Linked DNA regions of Alligator mississippiensis. The protein of the gene in region 2 interacts with the protein of the main gene of each other region in a pairwise test. Links are inferred from orthologs where the notes say so. Each region holds a gene or a part of one and is shown on either strand. Other genes may lie near its edges. The genes, in order: ISCU and HPRT1.

The links.
Region 1: the proteins of HPRT1 (region 2) and ISCU interact in binary tests that used the Homo sapiens proteins (3 or more experiments, as listed by UniProt). The two-hybrid records come from large-scale screens. The link is inferred for Alligator mississippiensis from reciprocal best matches to the Homo sapiens genes HPRT1 and ISCU.

Annotation. Positions count from the first base shown.
Region 1 is NC_081833.1:4,622,786-4,634,175, reverse strand, and holds ISCU (iron-sulfur cluster assembly enzyme ISCU), read right to left. Parts: upstream 5,738-11,390; 5' UTR 5,708-5,737; coding exon 5,534-5,707; intron 5,208-5,533; coding exon 5,097-5,207; intron 4,259-5,096; coding exon 4,180-4,258; intron 3,910-4,179; coding exon 3,812-3,909; 3' UTR 3,336-3,811; downstream 1-3,335. Other genes in the region: SART3 (squamous cell carcinoma antigen recognized by T-cells 3), read left to right, coding at 7,127-7,324, 8,352-8,478, 9,189-9,293.
Region 2 is NC_081831.1:80,412,056-80,424,308, forward strand, and holds the start of HPRT1 (hypoxanthine-guanine phosphoribosyltransferase), read right to left. Parts: upstream 4,426-12,253; 5' UTR 4,343-4,425; coding exon 4,316-4,342; intron 1,486-4,315; coding exon 1,379-1,485; intron 1-1,378. UniProt on the Homo sapiens protein: Converts guanine to guanosine monophosphate, and hypoxanthine to inosine monophosphate. Transfers the 5-phosphoribosyl group from 5-phosphoribosylpyrophosphate onto the purine.

The DNA.
Region 1 (11,390 bases), on a different chromosome or scaffold from region 2:
GACTTGAAACATGTGCTTTCTTTGGGTTTATAAAGTTTTCTTTGCAAGTAAGAAAGCTCAAAAGCTTTAAAAAGAGACCCCACCCACACCCTGAGGTTTGTCTGATCCCAGCAAATTGAGCTTTAAGAAAACCACATTATCATGGGGCTTGAGGTAACATGCTGTGAGTTGGCAGTCCCGGATCTGCTGGTGATGGGAACAGCTTTATGACTTGCAGGGTTATGGTGTGCAGCTGTCGCTGGACATGGCGACACCGTGCAGCTGGATGGTCCTGTCTGTGGGAAGCTGGACCTGGCAACGAATTGCTTCTGGCATGGCAGGGCCAGTGTGTCTCAGCAGCAGCTGGCCCTGACAAAACAGAAGAGCCATGCACATTTTGAGGGGGCCACCAGGACTGGCTTTGACAGACCTGGTTGAGCCTGAGATGCTGGGAGTAGCGGCTATGCCCAGCTGTGCGTAGGGGAGAGGGTGAGATGGCACCTGGGCTGCTGGGCTCAGCCCCAATTGGCAGGTTCCTGACCCTGATCCCTGCCCCGATCGTGCAGGTTGGAGGTGAGGACTCTGCTAGTGGAGCAGTGGTGCGTTTAAACTGCCTTGCAGCCTGGGGTGGTGGGAAAAGCACTGTGGGCAGAGGGGCTCAGGCTAGGCACCGTCTCCAAAGGCCCTTATCCTGACTCGGGTCTGTTGTGGAATTGCTGAGTTCACTTCCTTAGACTCCCGGGTGGTGGAAAGGGACCTCAAATCCACCCTGGCACAGACCCTGGCTTTGCTGTTGTAGGGACTTGCTGACCTTTGGGAGCAGGGTATTTGCAAAGCCTGGGCAGGGAGCCAGCTACCTACTTGGGGAGATGCTTTGCTCCTGGCTGGCCACTCCAACCCCCAAGGAATCTGGAGAGCCCAGGGCAGAAAGCAACCTGCCACTGGAGGGGAAGGCACCTGGGAGCCCAGCAAGTCCTAGCTCCTGAGCTCCCTGCAAGGGATCTCGGAGCCCCTGGCCCCTTGACTTGCCAAGCTGGGCATTGGGCGAGCTGCTGGAGTCCAAAGGTGAGGGCCCAGTAGTTTGCTTGGGAACTTGGACTGGCAGTCCCCTTGGCTGGCTGCTGGGAAGGTCCAGATCCCTGGAAGCTCGAGTCTCCAAGCTCTTAGCTAGGGAGGCATCTGGGGGTCCCTGCTGACTGGTGCAGTCCCAGCAGCCTGGGTTTTGACAGGATGCCAGAAAGCCAGGGAGCCACAGGCCTCTGAGTTTAAGCTTCAGGCTAGACTTCAACCTCATTATATCTCTTTACAACGATCCCCTGCCTTACCGTGCCTAAGACAGACCATGCTCATATACAAGCAGCTCTTCACGACTTTGTTTGATCCTGGTTCAAAGCCTGGCCCCTAGGCTGTATTTTCCACAAGCAGTCCCTTTTCTGGAGACAATTAACTTTATTATGGGTTTTTTTTTTCTATTGCACAAGCACGCCACGCGTCTTATAGTTATCTCCAAACATCCATGTGCAGTGAGGGGTACTGCTTAGTTTCATTGTTGTTAGGGGCTGGAAGGGACCTTGCAGATCATCGGGTCCAGACCCCCTGCATGTGGGCAGGAAAGAGTCTTCCTCGTAGGACTCATTTGCTGCCATGGGTATAAAAAGTGAACAAGGAGAACAATGGGGCATTAATATTTTTCCTTCAATTTTGATTCTATACACTCTTCTGATAGCTGGACGGTGAGCAACTTGGGCCAGGAAGCTTATCTGTGTTTGCACAGTACTTGGTGGAGTGGGATCCTGTCCCATAACTTGAGCTCCTTGGTAACTTAAGTAGTCTAGTCTTTCTGTATCCAGCTGTCCACATCTGTTACAGCAGGAAGGGTAATTTAAAGCTAAGCTTCTGGAGGCCTCTGTGTATGAGCAGCATCTGGTTATAGCACTTGTACAGCCAAGCTTTTACAGTGTATTTTTGCTCATTATGGTCATGCCCAGATGAGCATGGACGTTCGTTTTCCCAGGGACAAACAGCAGCACACCTTGTGCCACTGCTACTTGTCCCTAGAAATGCCCCTGCCATGTGTCCTCTGGCATGCAGCGTATTACCCAAGCGTGGTAGGGGAGGCTGGGGCCAGCAACTGTGCTGGCCCCAGCACCCTTACCTGGGGTCTTTGGGGAGCTGCAGTTGTGCTGATCCTGTTGCTCAGAGCCCGGCCAGAGCCACTCATTTTGGGCGGCATGCACTACCTGGCTTTTTTTTCATGCAGTTCATTTTGACTCCAGGATCAAAAAAAACCCTGGCACTGCTACTCTGCAGCACAGAGAACACCTGAATGTGCAGTGTGTGGCGCCACAGACATACCACACAGCTGCACTCGCTTGGACACACCCTATGTTAGCATCCAAACAGCAAATGTAAGGATGAGCACATTGCTATTTGAGGAGAAAAGCAGTAAAAAAAAAAGAAATCCTTCCAGATAGTCTTGTGTGTGGATTTCTTTCAAAACCTGGTATGTTTTCAACTAGATGTTACAGCCTTCAAGAATGTTAAGTGCAGGAAACAAGAAAATAGCGCTTGGTTTACATCCTATATTTAGATAAGGAATGTTTGGGGATTATTGGTTCTGGCCTGAACAGAAACATCGCAACTCAGTTAGACTCAGTGAATAATAGGGTCCACCACAGGCTTGCCCTGCACCTTGTTTTAGCAGAACTCCATTTCCCCGCATCTGATAACCCGGTACAATTCAGCCACCTACGTTTCAGCCAGAAGTAGCACTCGAATTGGCAAGCCAATATGGCCAATGTTTCCCTACTTAGCTATTTTTCACTGACCTCTAGCGGTCGTTATTGTGGTTACAAGCTAGTTTAGGGTTATCAAACTTCACACAAGGGGTGAGGAGTGAGTTGTGCTCCAGTAGCTTCTTTAACATGTCTCCCATCTATATAGTTGGGTCAATAACAGACTGGCAAGCCTCTAGACCAGTGATTCTCAACCAGGATGCCTTGAGATCCTTTCAAGGGTGCTGCAGGGTACCACATAATGTCAGCACTGTTATTTGGGCAAACATGATTTATAAGATAAACCTAGAGATTTCAAAAAGGAATTCATTGTTAAAGACATCCTGACCTGTTGTGGTCTTCCTGAGTTCTCTGCAACAGAAAAATTGCTCTAGTATTTTTTTGTCACCAAAAAACAAGTAGAAATAAAAGCGATAGCATTTTCAGAGGGATGCCTAGTCTAAAAAGCAAACCACTGCTCTAGACATATCCTGAGGTGCCAGGAAATGAGATATAGGGAGGGGGTGAGGAGTGTGCTCGTAGGGAGGACAAGAGACGTGAAATGAAAGACTTCCAAACCAGTTGTACCAGGCAGATGAACTGCCGCAGGCTGTTTAATATATTGCATATGTTGTACACAAAATAAAACTGATCTGCATTTTTTTTGCATAAACATTAAGACAAGGCAACACGCTTTCAAATAATCCTCTTCTATAAAACTCTCAGAAAAAACTATACATTTACTGAATGAAATGCAGCCCTTCCAAACACTTGGATTTTCACTGCTAGGAATGACTTATGCCTCGAGTAAGTGCTTCCCCTCCTCACCCAGACACTTCCAGGAGAAACAGATAGGACAGTAATCAGTGGAGAAATAAGGTCAAGGATACCAATGATTTGTGCACTACAAAGGTGGTTTAATACAGGCGAACAGTGAAACATTGTGCGTATATTGGGTGTACCTGACGGCTTCAGATTGGTAGTGCACTGGCTCCCTTCTCTAAACACCTAAACTAATTGCACTGCGATATTAATGAGAATAAGCTTTCATCACAGTTCTAGGTACTGGCTGCTTTCTTCTCAGGCTCTTCCTTGTTAGGATCTTGTTTTAGCTTGTAATCAGCCAGGGCTGCCTTGATGGCATCTTCAGCCAACACTGAAAGAGAAAGATGAAGAGCTTTCAAGCTTTTTTTGTAAACAAGGCTTACGCACCCAAGCATGCCTGCTTCTGCTTTTCACCCAAAACTGATCAGATTAACAGAATATTTGAGAGACAGATGCATTTTAAAGCACCTCAGCGACTGGTCTCAATTCAAAGCATCTTGAGAAGCACAACAAAAGCAGAAGGAAATGTCTTCCAGATCTATGGCAAACAACTGGGTTTAGCTGTTACATCTCAAAAATGAAGTCTGTACTGACAACTTACTAGAGCAGTGCAGTTTAACTGGAGGAAGGCAGAGCTCCTTAGCAATATCTGTATTTCTTATCTCCAAGGCTTCATCCACCTGAAACAAAAATGGAAGATTACATTTGGGCTGCGACGCTTGTTCCCCACCTCCTGATGTCACGTGCAGATATTTGTTAAAGGGATGCTCTTCGGCTGAACCGTCAGGATCGGGTACCAAGGAAGACGGGGAGAAGAAGCCTTTTGTTATGAACTCCTTGCTGATGATTATGTTAATTGGAGTTCATATTCTTGCGCCGAGCCACTTGGCATCTCTTCCTGAAATCTAGCAGCACAGAAGGGCTCTAGGCAAAAGGTCTTCATGTGAACGCGGGGTGGCAACTGAAGGCACGGCAGAGTTACGACCAAATTACTGATGTCCAGACTAGGGTTCATAGCCTCCCTTTGCGCCAAGACCTAGAGAAACTAGACTGGACGAGTTGGGCTGGCACTGCAATAGGGTCGTAGGACCAAAAAGACTGGGGACCCCTGGGTTGGATATTACTATAGAAAACCTGTACAGCCCGACCTACAATTGTAGGTCAGGATGCGTTTTTTTTTTTGGTGCAAAAATATATCCCGATATAGATACATCCCAACTGCCTATATCAGAGTGCATATGGGAACAGCGTAAGTTGTGATCCTGAGGACGGTGGGACGGGAGAGGAAGGCCACAGGCGTGATTATGAGCTCTCCTTGTTCACGCCGCGCTTTAACGTGTTGGTTGAAAACACCTTTTTCTTCCTGCAACGGCCACGTTCGCAAAACCATCGAGCTCGGCGTTTCCAGATAGAGGAACAAACGCCTACGAATATCTGCCCGTAAGGATGGGATAGTCTCAGTCCGCCCTCCACCCCTCCCAGCTTCCCGTCTACCGGCGGGTGCGACGGGGGTCTTACCGTCTTCCCTTTCACCCACTCGGTGGCCAGGGAGCTCGAGGCGATGGCCGATCCGCAGCCAAAGGTTTTGAACCTTGCGTCGACGATCTTCCCGCTGGCGTCCACTTCCACCTGCGAGGGGGGCAGCGACGCGGGGTCGAAAGATGCCGCCGGGCACCGGGAGAGCCGCCCGCGCGAGGCTCGAAACGCGACGGAGCAACGCCGCGAGCGCGTGGCCTTCTAGACCGCCGCGCGCTCGCGAACCTCCCCGGTATCGGGGCTTTGACACGCGCCTTGTAACCCCGGGGCCGCTGCGCAGAGGAGCAAGGCAGCAACCCGTGGAGAAGGGCGAGGATTCCCGCTCCCCCCCCATCCGATCTGCTGCTCTGCTTTCCGCTCCCCGCCCGATCCAGGGCTTCTGTATTGTGCTCCCCTCCCCCTCCCCCTGCCCCGCGCACCTGCAGCTTCATGACGTCACCGCAGGCGGGCGCGCCCACCAGCCCCGTGCCCACGTTCTTGTTGCGCTTGTCGAGCGAGCCCACGTTGCGCGGGTTCTCGTAGTGATCCACCACCTTGCGGTGGTAGCCGCGGGACAGCTGCGCCAGCCGCCCGCCCGTCCGCAGCGCCGCCATCTTGCGCCGCCACTCCCCCTCTGTCACGTGACCCTGAACGCGGCGGCGCCGGCGTCTTCTACGTCCCCGCGCCCGCTACGTCCCCGCGGCGGCTAGCCCCGCCCCCTCACCGTGCGTAATGGCGTCGCCACGTGCCCCTGGTTAACCCTTTGCTGGGCGGTGGGAAACGAGGGTTGAGCCCGGTAGCTGATGATTTGGGGGGGGGGGGGGGGGGTGTTTTGGCGGGTTCCTTTTGCCCCAGGCCTTAGTCCCAAGCTAATCGTTACCCAGTTGAAGGTGGGTGGGTGGCTGGAGGGGCAGAAGGTCATCAGAAATGATATGTTTGCTAACAAATACTATCAGGGCTCGCGGGCAGGAGTGGCGAAGCCCAGCCGTGCGTAGGGGAGAGGGTGAGATGGCCCCTGCGCTGCTGGGCCAACTAGATTTTTGCAAAAAAATTCTTTCCCTGCGAGCTTTCGGGCACCGACATCCTTCGTCAGGCACAGGAGAAAAGATTGCGTTTGCCGATACAAACGGCAGGCCATAGCACCCAACGAGTCCGTTGCTCTGGGTAAAGAGCGGAGATTAGGCTGGGATGCCTGGACAAAAGCTGCATGGGGGCACCCAAAACGCACACCTCCGCCACGGAGACGGAGACCTGACGCTGCCCGACCCAAAGTACACGTCGACACGCCAGCCTGCCAAGCGCCAGCCCCCCAGGCCTTGCGCTAAGGTCACAACCATGAGTTTGGGCAGGGATTTGTGGGCAAAATCCTTTTTGGGTCGCTCCCAAATCTTCACCATGGGGGGAGGGGGGGGGACTCTCCTGGAGAAACTGGTCTGGGCACTACCCCACTTCAAACGTGGGTTGGGCCCATTTTGACAGCAATTAGGAGCAGCTCCACAGCATCTCCAGGGTTGGGGATGGGGGCAGCTTTGTAAACGCAGGGGATCCTGGTGTGTGTCATCCCCCAACAAGGTGCTGCAGCAGTCGGGGGGACGGAGGGTGCACATACAGTGCTGATGCTTGCAAGGAATTGCCTCTGCCCCCAAAACGAGCGGGATGCGCTGAAACAGCTGGAAGCCCACTGCAGCACCAGGCCAGCTGCCTGCATTGCACAACCTGCCACACTCAACATGGCGGCTAAGCCCCGCCCCTCCCTTCCCCAGCTCCAGCCAATCCCGGCGCTGACCTTCTCGAAGGCCCCCGCGCCCTCAGGGGCTACAGGTGGCTGAACAAGTAGCCTGCCAGGATGAAACACAAGAGGAGGCCGCCGGTCCCTTTTGGGAGGCTCTTGTTTTTACAGGAGGGATCGGACGACTCCCGCAGCGGCGGCTCCTTCCCGCTCCCGCCGCCGCCTGCGGCAGCGGGGATCCTGGAGCCATCAGGCGCGCGGCGTGGCAGCCCCGCGCGGGGCAGGCGGCAGGCGGCGGCACAAGATGGCGGCGGCGGCGGGAGCTGAGGAGCCCGCGGCGGCCGCGGCCGAGGAGCAGCAGGAACGGCGGGCTGGCTCCGAGGAGGAGGAGGAGGACGATGAAGACGAGGAAGCTGGCGGCGGCGGCGACTCGGAGTCGTCGGGGGACGGCGAGGATGAGGAGAAGGAGAACGAGGCCGAGATCCAGCGGCTGGAGGAGCAGGTGGGGCCGGGCCGGGCCGGGGGGTGGCGGGTGTCCCCTCCCCTCCCCTCCCCTCCCCCCCCCCACGGCACGCGGTCTCCATGGCAACGCGCCGTAACGGTCGCACGGTCCTCGCGTGGGGGTGGCGGGAGCGCGCGGGCCCTTTCCCCTCCCCCCCACGCCTGAGGCCGACACGGTCGAGGGGGGCGTCCACGACCGCTCGAGGGTGGTAGTTGATCCCGCACGGGGCCGCGACTTCAGCCCTCCTGTCTCCAACGAAGTGTAAAAACGTCGTCTTTTTAGCTCCCCCCGGCTTAGGTGTCACTGTCGGTGGCTTCAGCGGACTGTAAAATCTTTAATCCCGGTGTCAGTGTCGCCGTTGGCGGCCGCGAGGTCATCTTGAATCCTCCCGGTGTAGGTGTCGGCGGCTTCAGCGAACTATAAAACACCGCCTTTGGCCCTCCGGGTTTAGGCGCCGCCGTCGGGGGCTTCGAGGGACTGTAAAACGCGCCCCAGCGTTGAGCTGCAAACGCAGGCGTCGTTCTTCGCTTGGCGATAAAGAACGGTTGTGATCCGACAGATCAGAAACGATCCCTTTTTTGTAAAATTGCTCGTTTTGGCTGGTTTTTGTCGGAGGAGTTGAAGCCCTCTGGTGTTTCTAGCTTACAGACGTTCATTTTTGTAGGTAGAGGTTGTTAAAAACGGGCAGACGCATTCCCCCGTTTACAGTTGAAACGACAGCCGCGGCCGGCGCTCCCGGCAGCTCGGGGAGGCTCGCGAGCCCCCGGTGAGCAAAATCTCCCTGGCGTTAAGCTGAACTGCTCGATCGGAGACCCTGTTTGAACCCGCGGCAGGTTAAGCGTAGAAGCGTTATGAAGATGTCATCGTGTTTATGTCCTTGAAGCACCTGGTATTGCTCCGCGACAGGGCAAGGACAGCAGCGCGCGGGGCCGCCGACACGTTTGTAATCTAGCCGTTCGTCTCCCCGTTTTCTGCTCCAGCGAGTAATGCTTCCTATCTGACGCCTTTTTCGCTTCCTTTCAAAAAGCTTTCGATCAACGCGTTCGACTACAACTGTCACCTGGACCTGATCAAGCTCCTCCGTCAGGAGGGAGAGCTGGTCAAGCTTCGAAGAGCTCGCCAGAAGATGAGCGAACTCTTCCCGCTCACTGAAGGTACGGGAGCTCTTGTCGCTGACGCCGTTCCCTCTGGCTTGATACCAACCCTCCTCCCTCTTCAGAAAATAAACTGTGTGTTGTGTGAAGTGTTGGGGTTCAACTTCATGAAGGGTTCACAAGACCAAATTAGGTAGACACAGTTGACTGCTCTTATGCAAATATTTTAAGCAGTAAAATCAAGTGCTGGGCATGCAGTGGCTAAAACCTTAAAATTTGTCTTTTTTCCTGAATTTACTAGTTTAAGTCGCAGAGAGCCGAAAGACTGATTTCGTTGTTTTGTTTTTGGTACTCGCAGCAGCTGTGTGTTTCCCTGCTTTGCCTTGACAGTGTTGTGGTAGTAGGGGGACCCCTTTTTAGGGACAAATGCAATCGCTCTGGCCAAGTACGTGTTGGAGTACACAGAGGGGCACCAGTTGTGGGATGGCTTCAGTTCAGGGCACAGGGAATTATGGTTCACAGCACAAGGGACCAGCTGTTCTCCTTTTAAATACAAATTTGCCCGTACGTATGGTGTCCAAATGGGTAAAAGCTGGCCAAAGGTTAGCGCAGTTCACTGTAGGTAACTGTCAGGTTTCAAGGCCTGATTTCTTTTAAAAGTAATTCTCTGCTTAGATTCTTTTTCCAGTGACATGGTAACAATCCTGCTTGTTTCTCAGGCTCTGGAATGTCCTTGGTTGATGGGGTCTGAAATGCTTGCTCTCTTACAGAAATCTGGCTGGACTGGTTAAAGGACGAGATCAGAATGGCTTCAGAAAACGCTGATCGAGAGAAGGTGTATGATTTGTTCGAGCGGGCTGTGAAAGACTATATCTGTAAGTTGCAGACACATCCTAAAAGTACATTACGTTATTGTGAACTATTCCTCCTCAATTTTTTTTTCCTGGAAGGAAGAGAGTAGCTGCTTGGAAACCCTATGTAAGGCAGTGAATTGCAGAGTCAGGCTCATACGATTGTAGACTTCAGATAGATGTTGCCAAGCAATTTGCTGCTCTTACAGGCAGGAAACAGTTAACACTGTGTTGTGGCTTTGCATTGGCTGTTTTCTGTGAAGAACTCCCTGCACCTACTGAATCCTGTATCCCATAATGAACTCTCCTTTCCTTGCTTGGGGCAAATTAGTGATTTTAAAAGGTTTATTTTCACCACCTTGTTCTTGTCTGTAGAATTGGTTTCATTAGTTACTGCTGCCTTCAGTGTGTACCTTTGTATTCTTTCGCTATAAAAGGTCTTTCAGAGTAGGGTATTGGTAGTATCACAAAGACCCTGTCCTTAAACGCCCTTGTAAGTGTCCAACCCCACTCATGCTTTGCAGCAGAGGACAGTGAGAATTCTCATTAAAAGACAGGCAGGGGTTTGGTCCTTATCTACACCTCTTTGCCAGATGGTGGCTGCTGCTACATACCTAATTAGAGCACTAACTTATTCTTTCCCTTCATTGTGGTGGAGGGTTGAATGTGCATCATCTGCGAAGTGGAGTGGCAGGTTTGGAGGTATTGGTCATGGCCCCGCAGTTAGAGTTTTCTTCAGATCTTTAATTAGACTCATTCCAGAAATCGCACACCCAGGGAGTTAAGTCCTAATTTGTCATAACTGGGTTGTTTCCAGCTAGGCAGATGGAGTTGCCTACCCAGCTCTCCTGACCTTCGTTCTGTCAAAGAACATCAACTAACTTTCTTTTAATGCTAGTTTTTTGATTGCTGTCAGACTTCACTTATGTTGCACACCCCAATTATAAAATCCTATGCAGAGGGTAACAGGAGGAAAAAAGCCACATCAGCCCTCCGTTGGCCATTGGGAAACATGGAAGTGACAGTTAACATGGCTTACCTTTAGGGATGCCCGTTGATAATTGGGAAGAAGGTAGAGAGATGATCTATAGTGGGGAAGTATTAGAGGCTGAGAAGGGGAACTGGTGAGTGGATAGCAGGTAATGTTTTGAATGACGGTTAGAGTGTTAGTGAATGGGTCTGTATCATCGTGGTGGGAGGTGGCCAGTGGTGTCCCGCTGGGTTCAATTCTTGGCCCCGTGCTGTTCAACATCTTTATCAGTGACTTAAATGAGGATGTGGAAAGCACGCTGGCCAAGTTTGCGAACAATACTAAGTGATGGGGAAAAGTGGTCACACTAGGGGATAGGATGCAGATCCAAGAAGACCTGAACAAGCTGGGAAGGTGGGCGGAGTAGAACCGGATGCAGTTCAGTAAGGATAAATGCAGAGTGCTTCATCTGGGGAGAAGTAACCAGCAACATGAATATAGGTTAGGAGGAGATGTCCTGGCCAGCATGATGGCTGAGAGGGACCTCTGGGCTATAGCTGATCACAGGATGAACATGAGCTGCCAGTACGATGCTGTAGTCAACATTGCTGATAGCATACTGGGATGCATTAGCTGATGCATTGTGAGCAGGGCTAAGGAAGTGATACTTTCTCTCTACTCGGCGTTGCTGATACCGCAGCTGGAGTCCTGTGTCCACTTCAGAAAAGATTTGGAGAATCTTGAAAGGGTCCAGAGAAGGGCCACAAGAACGATTAAGGGTCAGGAGGACAAACCTTATGGGGAAAGACTAAGGGATCTGGGACTGTTCAGCCTGGGGAAAAGAAGACTGAGGGGGGACTTGGTGGCTGTCTATAAGTATGAAAGGGGTGAATATTGGGAGCTGGGAGGAAAAACTGTTCACCAAGATGACCAGGGGAAGACAAGGATCAGTGGCCATAAACCGTTAGAGAATGGTTTCAGGTTGGAAGCAAGGAAGAACTTCTTTATGGTAAGGGCGACCAGAATCTAGAATAGACTTCCCAAGGAGGTGGTGCAGTCCCCATCCTTGGAAGTCTTCAAGAGGAGACGGGACAGACACCTTGCTGAGATAATTTGATCTCAGCCGTATTCTTGCCCAGAGCAGGCGAGTT
Region 2 (12,253 bases):
TATTTGCCTAGCACTTCTCAGCCAATTTTACTGTTTACTGGTCAGTAAGGTTTTTGCTTTTCTCACTTCTCAAGGTTAATCTAACAGTAACATTGCCACACACTGCCAGCTTTATAGGTCACAATCAGCCAAAACAAATCTGAATCTTTGCTCAGTTAGTAGCTCTTTCACATGTGGATTTTGAAAAAAAAGCATGTTCTGCGGCTTTTCTGTTCCCCAAGCACAGAGAAATATAAATTTGTTTACCAGTAGAACAAGCAGAGAGAGCCATCCTACACAAACCAGGCAAAAGGCAGGCATTTCTCAGATGGAAAACTAGTGCCTTACTTTTGTTCCAGGTTAAAACACAAGTGACAAGGACCCTGCATTAACTCCAAAGCTAAGGACAATACACAGACACTAGAAGCCAGCTGACTGACATGTTACTTGTACCAGTCATCTTTCAGAAGGAAATCATTTCTAAATTTAGCTTCTCATTTATTTAGAAAAGCATGGTGTAATATTTATAGCATATTCAGCCAGCCACACACTTGTTAGGAAGAGGCTACAACTAGAGCCCTTCATTTAATAAAATACTACTCAAATGCTATGTATTTTAGTCAGTTTTTAACTTACATTGGAAATCCATAAATAGCTCTCATAATACCATGATATAAATACGTTAATGCTGGAAATAAATATTTTAAAATACCCTATTAAGTTAGTGGGAATTCACTACCACAACATGAACTCTAGGGCTATCCTTATCTCCACTTCAAAAAGATCTTTTCGTAAGTACAAAAGGTAGTTTTTGGAAGATGTTTTCTCTGGTAATCACGCCACTGAAACTGCTTTTCCCTCTGAGAACAGAAATAGAAAATACAAGTTTTATGGGTTTTGGCTGTAGAGAAGCAATAGACCAGTATTTTGCAAAGGCTGATGATGCATTTCCCAGAAAGGAAGAGAACTTAAGATATTAAGTTTTCCTAACCTGAAAGTACGGAAACAATGTCTCCAGTCTCCCTGGATTAATCTTGCGATAAAATTAAAAAAGCCATAATGTTTTCCGTTTGCAATCTAAACTAAGGTGCTTTTTTGGTTAGTTCTTAACACTAGTACAGTATCTCCTAACAGCTATCCTGTAGTTTTGAAAATGACCACAGCAGCAAATGTGCCAATTCTTAGAGGCTTGTGAGTGAAAGAGAGTTAATTAGTGCTTGCACTTCTTTCTAGAAGACAGCACGTAGTTCCTAATTAAAATTTTTCCACAAGGTCCTCTATTTAGATCATCATCAGATAGCAAAACGCTACAAGGCTTAACAAAACTGTTGCTGGTAGACATTTTTCCCAATTTCATGAAATTAAGTTGGCATAATACATTATTTGAAGTCAAACTAACCTGTCCATAATAAGCCCATGAGGAATATAGACTTTTTCCAAGTCATCTGCATAATGTTTTGGTATGCAGAACAAGTCCAAGTCATAACCTTGTTCATCATCGCCAATCTGAAATGAAAATATGAAAGATGAGAGTTGGTACAATTAACAGGTCCTTTCTGAGGAAACCATGACCTAGAAGAATTCAGGTATGACAAGCAAAAGACCTGTGAAGTAAAACATCAAACCCTGACTTTTTCAACAAGCTGTTGAACCTGGTATGCTCATCACTTTATCCTCCCTCAATATAAAGGCAACGATCGCATTGAACATGAAGTCAAGTATAGGTTAGTGTTACCATCTATGGCATATGAGACCCATCTCACATGCCGAATGAATGAGCACTTGCTTAATAAAACATCAAACAAGGGCAGATATTCATTTAAAATCTTAACTAGTTCCTTCGGCTGAGAGAACAGGAAGTGAAATGACTCCCCTCCAGCTGTGATTCCATTCCCTGTACTACAAATTATTTATTTTTAGAGGAAAAAAATCTCCATTTATTTCTAACAAGGGCAATACAGAAGCTACATAAGGTACTGATCAAGTGTACTTAATAACATGGAAGCCCTCCAAATCTGCACAATACCAAATCAAACAAAATCCAGGAGCCCATTTCCAATAACTGAGACACAAGACATCTTTACCAATGTGCCCAGTTACATGCTCACATCAAGAAGGGGTTTGGCATGTTTCTACGGCCCGGATCCTGGGAACTGCAGGGTGCTCAACACCTCTCATCATCAGACATGAAAGTCCCATTTCAGCAAGCTGTTTGGCATGGGCAGGAACCAGAACAGAACAGCTTGCAGGATCAGCACTCAAGTGTGTGTTAATTATGACATGTGATTAGCAGACATATAATTACACCAGGAACTATTAAGGTGTAGGATGTGCCATTACAAAAGCATCAAGATCTGAGCTTTCGTGACTTTTACCTACCCACCATTTAAAGTTACTAATGTAATTTTTACTATCTTCATTTCTGCTTTTACAGCTGAATCCCATTATATGTGAAGTATAGTTAAATGTCTGTGGAGAAAACTGAAGCCTATTACTCGTAATTCACCAGCGCATGCCTCTTAACGATCCAGCTCAACTCCTGTTCTCTCTGCAAAATACGCAGAATCATTTCGTTACCAAAGGAAGCTTTTACCTGGCCTTGCAAGCTGTCACCTGCTCAGGTTTATGCCATGCCACTCGCTAAGGATCATTTCACAAGAGACTTAGTAGCATGAGAGCCTATAAGAATTGAAGTTATAAGACTACTCCTCCCTCTCTGGTACACCAAACTCAGCAATCACTGGATAAGACAGCCCTGGAAACCTTAGTAAGCTACTATTTCAGACGAGATCCCTGTCTTTTAAAAGCTACAGGGTTTTCTTATAGTTCAACTCTATAATTATATTTAATTTATTTAACAAAACTTTCTTTCCATATTCAGAGAAAAAATGACTCCTTCCTAAAAACTTAACACTGACATTTTTAAATAGGGATGGCAAACTACATACTGCTGTAGGGGTTGGGGGGAAGGAAGGAGCACGGCATTTTGAGCCAGGGGACACTGCTAAATAGTGCAGTCACTCATAGAAACCACAGGTTTTCTTGAGCGGTGGTGGTGGGTTGTTTTTTGGGGGGTTGTACAAAATTACATTTCAAACAGGTATTTTTTTTTAGAGCCTCTTCAAAATAAACAGGAATTCAGTGCCTTTCAAATCAGGTCTAACCCAAGCATTATAAGCTGATTATAGTTAAACTCTACCTTTCCGCATGTTATTACACAAATGCATTAATGAGTTTGCATACTATGCAAAGCGATGGAGATCAGAATGTATTTCACGCTGGCGTAATTTGCAAAGGTAAAAAAAGGAGGTTGCTTTTCTCTGCAGGTTCGTCTTGTTTTTGGTTTTAAAGCCTCTTGAGAAATGTTCCCTAAGACGATGATGAGCTCTCCTTTTTTTTTTCCAATTTACATTATTCTAAATCAGGTTGGGGGGGAAGCTGAAGATCAGCTGTTAGAAAGCAGGGACAAGAACCAGATACTACCTGTGGCGAACTCCACAATCAGCACCATCCCCTGCCCTTGCAAACTGAAAGTCACCATGGCTGTTAACTGGTTTAATGAGGACGTCAAGGTTACGCCCAGCGCCGGAGAGTCCACAGTCACATTAAGCACGCAGGTAAGGCGTCTGCCCGAGCCGGCAGGGCCCCCTGCAGCCTCCGCCGGGATGGATGCGACTGCCCTGGATGGGCGCAGGGTGCGCGTGGGTCGCTCCGAACCTCCTCGCCATGGGGCGCCTGGGGGGGCAAGCACCCCGAAAGGGCCTGACGCAGCCAGGCTGCCCCCGAGTACCTCGCTCGCGCTCCCCTCACCTCGCACCTGGACGGACCCGCACCCCCATGCACACCTCAAACCCCCATACTTTCGTAGTTTCTGGGGTCAGGAGGGACCCGCACACATCCTCAAGGCCCTGGCAGGAACCAGTGCTGGGAGAGTAACCCCCAGCTAGGTGCCTCCCCCAAAATAGTGCCTGTCTCGGGGACCCCCATCCCTGCACATGCCGCCCTATGCCCCCAAATACCTCCCCGTCTCTAGGGGGTACCCCATCTCCTCTGCAATCTCCCCCAAACACCTCCCCGTCTCTGGGGGGGTACCCCATCAGCCCCCCCATGCCCCCCAAATACCTGCCCACCTTTGGGGCCGCGTCACTTGTAGATACCCCCATCAGCCCCCGCCAATCGCCCCCCAAATACCCCATCATCACCCCTCCCCCAATCTCTGGGGCCCCGTCGCTCCCACATACCCCCCCCCCCGCACCCCCCGCTATTTTTGGGATCCGTGTCCCCCCCCCGACCCCGACCGTGACCAGTGCGGGCCGGGCCGGGCCGCGGCGCTCACCACGATGCAGGGGCTGGGGGTCGCCATGGAGCTGGTGCGCGGCCGCCGGATCGGCTCGGCTCGGCTCGGCTCGGAGCGGGCTCGGCTCCCGCCGCCACAGGCGCCGCCTCCCGCCCGCAACATGGCCGCGGCCTCCCGCCCCGAGCGGCGCCCGTGAGGGGTGGGGGGGCGCCCCGTCGTCACCATGGCAACCCCCTCATAAGCACCATGGTAACCCCTCAGCACCATCATGGCAACACCCCCCCCTCATAATCACCATGGCAACCCCCCTCACAACCACCACTAAGGACCCAGGCCGGACCAGGCCCGGCTGCGCTGAGGGGACACTTGACACGCGTGCCCCTCCCTCGCACGTGTCGGGCGGAGGAGAAACGTGGACGTGTTAGCCTGTCGGTGGAAGGGCTCGAGTGTGGGCGAGCGACACGTGGAGGGTGATATTTACGGCTACGCTGCTAGGGGGCTGCGAAACAGGCGGACGCACGCTCCTCGCCTGCCACGCGCACGTGGCCGCCCGCGACGTTACGTATTGGAAGAGCTGGCTTGGAAAGCAAAGGGCCTCGCTGGGGTTTGCTGGTTTTTTCAGACTCGTTTAAAAAGCGGGGGGCGAATTTGGGCCCGGTTGGTGCATGCCGGGGGCGGTTGTGCACTGGAAGCTGAACCCCTGACTCTCCAAGTTCATCCTCGTCTGGGACCGCCTGTATCGTCCTCAACAGGGGCACGGCTTTGGCAGCGCTACATTCGGACGGCGAGCGACCGAATCTCACGCTTCAGGGCTTCGTTTTGGGGCGGGGAGGATTTCCTCCGCCCGGCGGAGAGGGACCGCAGGAGATCATCGAACCCAAGCCCCCGCTCAAGGCCAGGCGTCTTCGGGCTCCCGGTGCTGCGGACAAGGTGAATCCCACACGTAACGTCATGTCAAGTCTCAAATACCGTGACAAGCCCGTGTGCCTCTTGCTGTCGTTTTGCTTTCCCATGTGTTAGGGATAGGCTTCTGGTACGTTGTTTCTGGCTCCTTGCACTCCTGCCTACCCCACCATCTCTCTCGCCTTCTTTGTTCAACAACATCTGCCCTCCCTCATGCCTCGGCCTCTCTACGTCCCCCATTCCCCTTCCCCTCCATGCTAAGCGTGTCCGTCCCCTTCTGATTTCTCCCATATCAGCTCCCGCACTTCCCTCCCAGGTAGGTGCAGTCCCCCTTGCCAAGTTTCTGCAGACCCTCCCCACCATGCCAGGGGTTGCATGCACGCTTCTTTTCTTCATACCTGCTATCTTCTGTTGGCCACTCGGTCTTGGAGAGAAGTGATTTGTATTCACTCCTATTGAGGCAGGGAGAGCAGAGATTAAATAGCTGCATTGATTATGGTAGAAAGTGTGGAGAGTTGCCATTATTTAGCTCTGTGTGCTGTAGAGCGCTGCAAAAGTACTTGACGTTGTGCGTTCATTGACCATATGGTAGGTGCTCTACATATCCCACGTTGTCGCACTTCCAGTTTTCTGGTTTTCTTCCAAATCCATCTTTTTTGTTTTCCCCTTGGGGATGCTAAGACATTCCCCAAAACTGCAGATTAAAGACACCGGGACACAGACAGGCAAATGCTGTCAGGTTGAGCGCAGGGTCTTGCAAACACAGTCAAGTCTTTATGATTGTGGTTCTTGTTGCTACAGTGCCCAGACCTAATTAGGGATCAAGGCCCATTGGATGGTCTCTGACCCAAAGAATTTACCAAGAGCAAAATTAACGGTTTAGCTTAACACTAGCAATGAGTTTCACTTAAATGAGGCTGTGCCTCATTGCTGAAGCTTTCACTTCAGTGAACTTCCCTGCACATGGACCCAACATCACTGCGTTTCAACCATGTTTAATGGTTTAAATCAAAACACTTAATCATGCAGCGGGCCTGGTGAATAGAATCGTAGATTAGGAAAATACAAACACTATGTTCTTTCAGGCTTCCTGGAATACTGCTTTTCCCATGCTCTTTAGTTTGCATAATTATGCCATATTTCCCTTCAGGATGATGCTAGATTTAAATACAGTTTTAGGGATTTTTTTTGTATTGTTTAATCATTAACTGAGTTCTTCCTTGAATGCTGGACTGCATCATTGCTTCAATCTGGCAAACTTCAGGTGCTCCTCAGTAAGCAGTACCTAGCTTTGGGAGAAGGGGTCTGGATTATGCAGCATGCATAAGTGTATTAGAGAACTAGACATCGTAACTGAATAGAAACATTAATAATAAAAGAAGCACAGCTGCCTGGGCAGTTTTTGCATTGGCACTGCTATATTAAACTTGTTTTATGTTAGATGCACATTTTCGTTTTTGATCTGATGCAGATTTGTCTATTTGTGAACAAGCACTACCATATAAGAGGTCAGTGATTGGTAGCAGCGTTTGCATGAATTATAATTTTAGCAACTGGTATTTTTAGAAAATGCACAGTGACAAAAAGAGCTGATTTAGGGGGTAGACTAAGCTAATTTACTTGATATTTCCATTATAGTGAAATACATAACAATGTTGACATTTGGAGTGTCAGCTCCTGCTTTTAGAGGTTAACCTGGGGTGATGATTTAGTTCACAAATCTCAGAGTCATTATTTGCACCTGCTACAGATGCAAGGGCCTTGTCTGTGCTTGGAAAATGCATTACATTAAGCTTCAGCTTGACCAGATCAGCACGTTAATGACAGTCTTACTCCACTGCACTGGACTTTCAAACCAGGTTAGCTTCTGCTGACATTACTCCTTCAAATCCTTATTCTAGGCAAGGGCACAATGTTAAACACGGTATTGCTTTATGGACCTGGATTATTGTGTTTAATAAAAAGATATTCATTAGCCCTGTCCTGGTTAGTCCTTTCCCCTGCTTGAGGCTGGAGGAAGTACAACCAGTGCAGCTTTCATCTGTCTTCATTCACCTTACAGTTTACCTCAGAAAAACTAGTCAGCAGTAGCTAAAATCAGGCCTAATCTCTGTCATCATCAGTAAGACCTTGGTTGATGTCTTCAAGGCAATATTTTGTGGCTCTGAGAGTGAACAGATCTTTTTATTTCTTAATAAAAACACAGATTGTGGAACACAGTTTTGTTGAAGGGGAGGCTCCTGTATCCGTAAAACACACAGCGTTGCTCCACCATGTCATACTTAATATTTAAGTGGTAGAAACGTCCTTATAATGGGACATTTTAATTAATGTTTGTGCACAGCTCTTAGATTAAGAACTTGAGGGGCTCTGCAGGTTATCCCAGTGAAAGGGATAGGGGTAACTGGGATAATTGTCTATGCTCAGCACCTTCCCAGTAGAAAGAAAAGCACCGCTGTTGTGATAGGACCAGTGGTAGGGTCACTCGCAAACATCCTGTCCAGTTCCAAGCAGAAGGTGCAGCAAAAGGGTCATGCATCAGATGTCACGTTGTTATTCTGAGCAGGTTGGTGGCCCTGGCCCTGCTCCTTTCCCTTTGAGAAGGAGTCAGTCAGGGCTGCAGTCAGGTGTGAATTGTAAGTGACAGAGCTGTGGTGGTGGCAAGAGCCCCTGGCGTACACAGTTATATCAGCAGAACTGCTTTTGCAAGCATGGCTCATTTCATTCCCCCAAGTGTTATACGCTAAATCAAAAAGCATGCTTCTTCTAGACTAACAGCCTCCATTGGGGAAGCTATATTGCTGGCACTATATTGGTGCCATTATACAGGTAATGTCCCATGTCCCCGTACAGACAAAACCTTACAGCCATAAAGCCGTTTTGTCTGATTGTTGTGTTGACAATGGTGTGAGCTAGCCCAAGTTTTCCAGAAGGGGCAGGTTGGGGTGGGTAATGGTTTTGCATTTAACCCATTTACGTGAATCGTGCACTGGGCAGTTCTCACTGTTCACAACCATTGTATCCAACCCCTTTCATCTCACAGAAGATAAGGTTGCTCTTTACCTTACGTGACCTCTGTGCTGAGAGCGGTCCACTGTTACAGCCAGAGTCTGCCTGCATGAAGAGCTGCAACCCCTTGGGCCAACAGAAGTGCTATTTTTTAAATTAAGTGCCCCTGTCTAGACACACAGGGCAGTGCTTCACGCAGAGGCAGGGAAGAGCAGCTGTACCATCCTTGGAAAGGGTGCAACATTGCCTCTCTTCCTCTTCTGTAAGGGGCAGCTATAACAAATCGTGAGGGAGCAGGGCAGGAGTATGGCCCTTGGGAGGTTAGCAGTAGCACAGAGCAGGGTTTGCATCTAGAACTGAGACTGTGCCCGGCTCTGCATTTATATTCTTCCTTCCTTACACATACTTATGAGCCTGGGCACAACCTCACCCTCAATTCCTCTAGTTCACGCTCAGCAGAAAGACCAGATCGATATGGAAGAGGGGAAAGAGAAGCTCTGACCGGCTCCTCAAATGCCTGACTGCGCTGGACAGTGGGTAGGGGATTCAGGTGCTGCTTGCTATGTGTACTGATGAAGCTTTCTTATTAATAGCTGATATTAGCAATGCTTATTAACAAATAACGTCAAATCCAGCCTTTGTCACCGCATGTGGCACTTGCTGCCAGTTCATGTGACATTTCTCCCGAGTGAATAGAAGCACTAAAGTTTTAGTCCACTGTTGCCCTTCTGGGTGAGTAATTTCTTTGTTCTTCCTGCCAAACAGCAGATTTCCAGATCCCAAGAGTTTCTGGTCCTGCTGGCACACGAATAGGGAGGAGAAGGCAGATTTACAACAGCAGACAGATTTGCTGACATTACAGGAAGTTGCTGAGCTGAGGATTTTTAGAGCTTTAGTGTGGAAATCACTGAGCATTTCAGATTGGGAGATGCACACAGATTCAGAGATACCTGGAAGCCAGTACACTGTCCTGCTGAAGCTTGCTTGTAAGTCTGAGAGACCCATAGCTCTGAGAAACATTGAATTTTAACATTGAATATGTTTAAAAAATATCTAAAAAACACATTTTGTGGCTGGGGACTTGTCTAATATCATATGTATTCCATCCACTGTTGCTGACCAGGGTGTAATCACCCTCTACACAGGCAACCAGACCCACCCAAATCTGAGACCAGGGCATCTTATTTTTTAACACACACCTCCGAAGGGGGACTGTAGAGAGGCCACATCTAATGTGTAGGGAGGGTGAAACTGTTTGAAGTCACTTGCAATACAGATGATTTATGATAGTTGATTTTTGATCACAGCCCATCCACTATCATTCAGGCCTCACCCAAATTTCCATTTCTATTTCTATTGTTGCTGACTGATGTGATAAAGATTAGCAATCCTAGAAATCTCTATTTTTTCCTGCATGTTTGCACATCTGAAAGAGGAGGAGAAAAGATGAGTGTTGCAACACAGCAATGGTGGAGGGGAGTGCAGCTCACTTTGGTCAGAAGTCTGGCAGCATATTCCTTATTAAGGAGAGAGTGGTAGTGGTGAGCAGTGGAGGATATAGGTCCTGAGATGGATACCAACCTTTGTACTCAAGAGGAAAACCAGTAGCTAAGGAACAACTCACAAAGCAGTGAATATGCTGCTGACCAAAACATGAAGTTATTAAGGGGGGGGCGCACACACGCACACACCCTAATATACATGCCCTCATGAGCCTAGACTTAGCCAAGGACTGTGGGAAGGCCTTGCCATGGAGGTGCAGCTCCTGGACCTGGGAGAGCCAAGTGCAATGCCTAGCAGTGCAGCTCTGACCTTTTGTGAGGTGTAAGCTTTTGCCTCAACCCTGATCCTAGGAAACTCTCTGAACTAGGAAACATCCCTGCCTCACAGGTGCACTGAGAAGCAAAATGGCTTTATGTCTAGGGGATGGTTAGATACAATGGTGAGAAAGCTGCATATATAGCTAGACACGTTCTTTGTGGACTTACTGGAGTGTACTCTAATGCACTTGCACCAAGAAGTCACTTTCTGGGCCTCATTCTGAATTCAGGATGAAAGAGCATGGGATCAGGCTCACTACTGTGCAGTACGGAAAGGATGGTGCTAGGTGCTGTGTGCATCCACTAAAGCAGACGCAGCCAGTGCCTGGAAGGGATTTATTTAATGCTGTGGCTCAACTAGGCAGCAGAGGTGAAAACAGGAATTAAAGGGAAGAAAACAGGTTCCTGACACAGCTGAGGGACATCCTCATGACACGCGTGTAGCATCAACATGAGCCGACAGACACTGGTGTAACCGTATGCTGCCAAGCCTGGAGCACACACCCAGCTAGGCTACCTACGTCACAGGGCCCCACACACCTGACGGGGAGGATGGTTACAACTCTGGGCCTGCTGTTGGCGGGTGGATCTACACTGGGTAGAGCTCTTCCCCAGGGGCCTCACAGTCTGGGCCTGTTCCAGGCTCACTTCCCAGCTGAAGGAACCGGCATCGGCGGGCAAGGCAGAGCTATGTGCAGATAGAGGTGTGCCCTGAATCGGAAGGGCTTGCCTGCAGGGCACCACGTTTGTCTGAACAAGCCCTGAGACTTAAGTGGAAACCTGATTCACTTGCGGGAAATGTGCTGTTCTCTTGGGCAACAGTAAGCCTGGACTTCCCACTGGACTCCACTCCAGCAGCCGGCAGGGCCATGCAGTGCCTCGGCCAAGGGCCAGGCCTGTTTGGGTCACTCCTTGCTTATCCCTGTTGTGCAGCTGAAAGAGGTGGCGGCAGGAGCTGGGTTAATGAGAAACAACTCTGGGCTGAGGCTGCTGCAGCACGAGCTCGTGGCTGCAAATCTGTATGGAAGCCTTGCCGAGATGGGAGTGGGAGGGCCAGCGAGCCCCACGTGGATGTGCAAACTGACACTTGAGAATAGAAAGCAAAGCCTGAGCTGGCTCCCTCCAGGGCCATGTGAGATGTCTCACTTCCTGCATTCAGCATTCCCCACCCAGGCAGCCCATGTGCTGCTGGGCCACCTTTAGCTGCTGACAACAAACACATGTAGGTGACAGAGGCATGGAGAGCTTGCCTGTGATCAGCCGTGAGGCTCTGAATATTTAGTCCTGTGTGTGCAGCAAAAATGAACCAGTACAAGATGCATCTCTTGGCAAAAAACAGAGAGGCTCCAAATTCCATGTCCTCCATCCTGGTGCCCGTCTGCTCCTCAGTAGCATCCGGGGAGCAGCAGAAGAGCTTCCACAGGCCTGCAGACATGGGGGCTCTTTCATGTGCCCTGTTTCATTGCAAAATATGCTGCAATGAAAAGGATGTAACAGAGCAGCTCTTCTCTGGGAATAACACGGGAGAGACAAACATTGCTGGAGCACTGTGTTGGGCTCTAAATATCTGGCTGAAGTAGTTTGGAGGCAAGAGAAAAACATAGCCAACATCTCTCCTCTGGGCTGCGCCAGCAGATATTAAAAATAGCCAAGTTATCGACTCCTCCCACCTCAGACAGGTCCAGCACCAGCTTACAAAGGCTAGTAGCACCTGCCCTGCCTGCCCAACACCTCACAGCTGTTCAAAACAGCCTGTGAAATGAACTGGTAAATTTGCTGCAAGTCCTCGGTAGATGAAGTATCAGCATCACCACATGCAAGTGCAGGAAGAGCAACCAGGGTTAAAGGCCCAGCCTGCACCTCCTGGAGAGTGACCATCCAAGGGGTGGGGAGCACGTAGTCATCATTTTGCAGTGCAGCCCCCTCCTAGCTTCTTCCTCATGCAGAAATGAAGGCAGAAGAGATGTGCACTGCATTGGAGAGGCCCAGGGGCTTGGGGTACAGCCAAAAGGGGGCTGCAGAGGAAACCCCCTTCCATACCCCCATGTTCCTGCTGGCCTTCCCCATCCACTCACTGTCTCTCCATACTGGCAAGGTCGTTAAGGGCTGGAAGGGATCTCAGGAGGTCACATCTAATTCAACCCCCTGCTCCAAGCAGGACCAGCCCCAGCTACATCATCCCAGCCAGGGCTTTGTCTAGTCAGGTCTTCAAAACCTCCAAGGATGGAGATCCCACCTGCTCTCT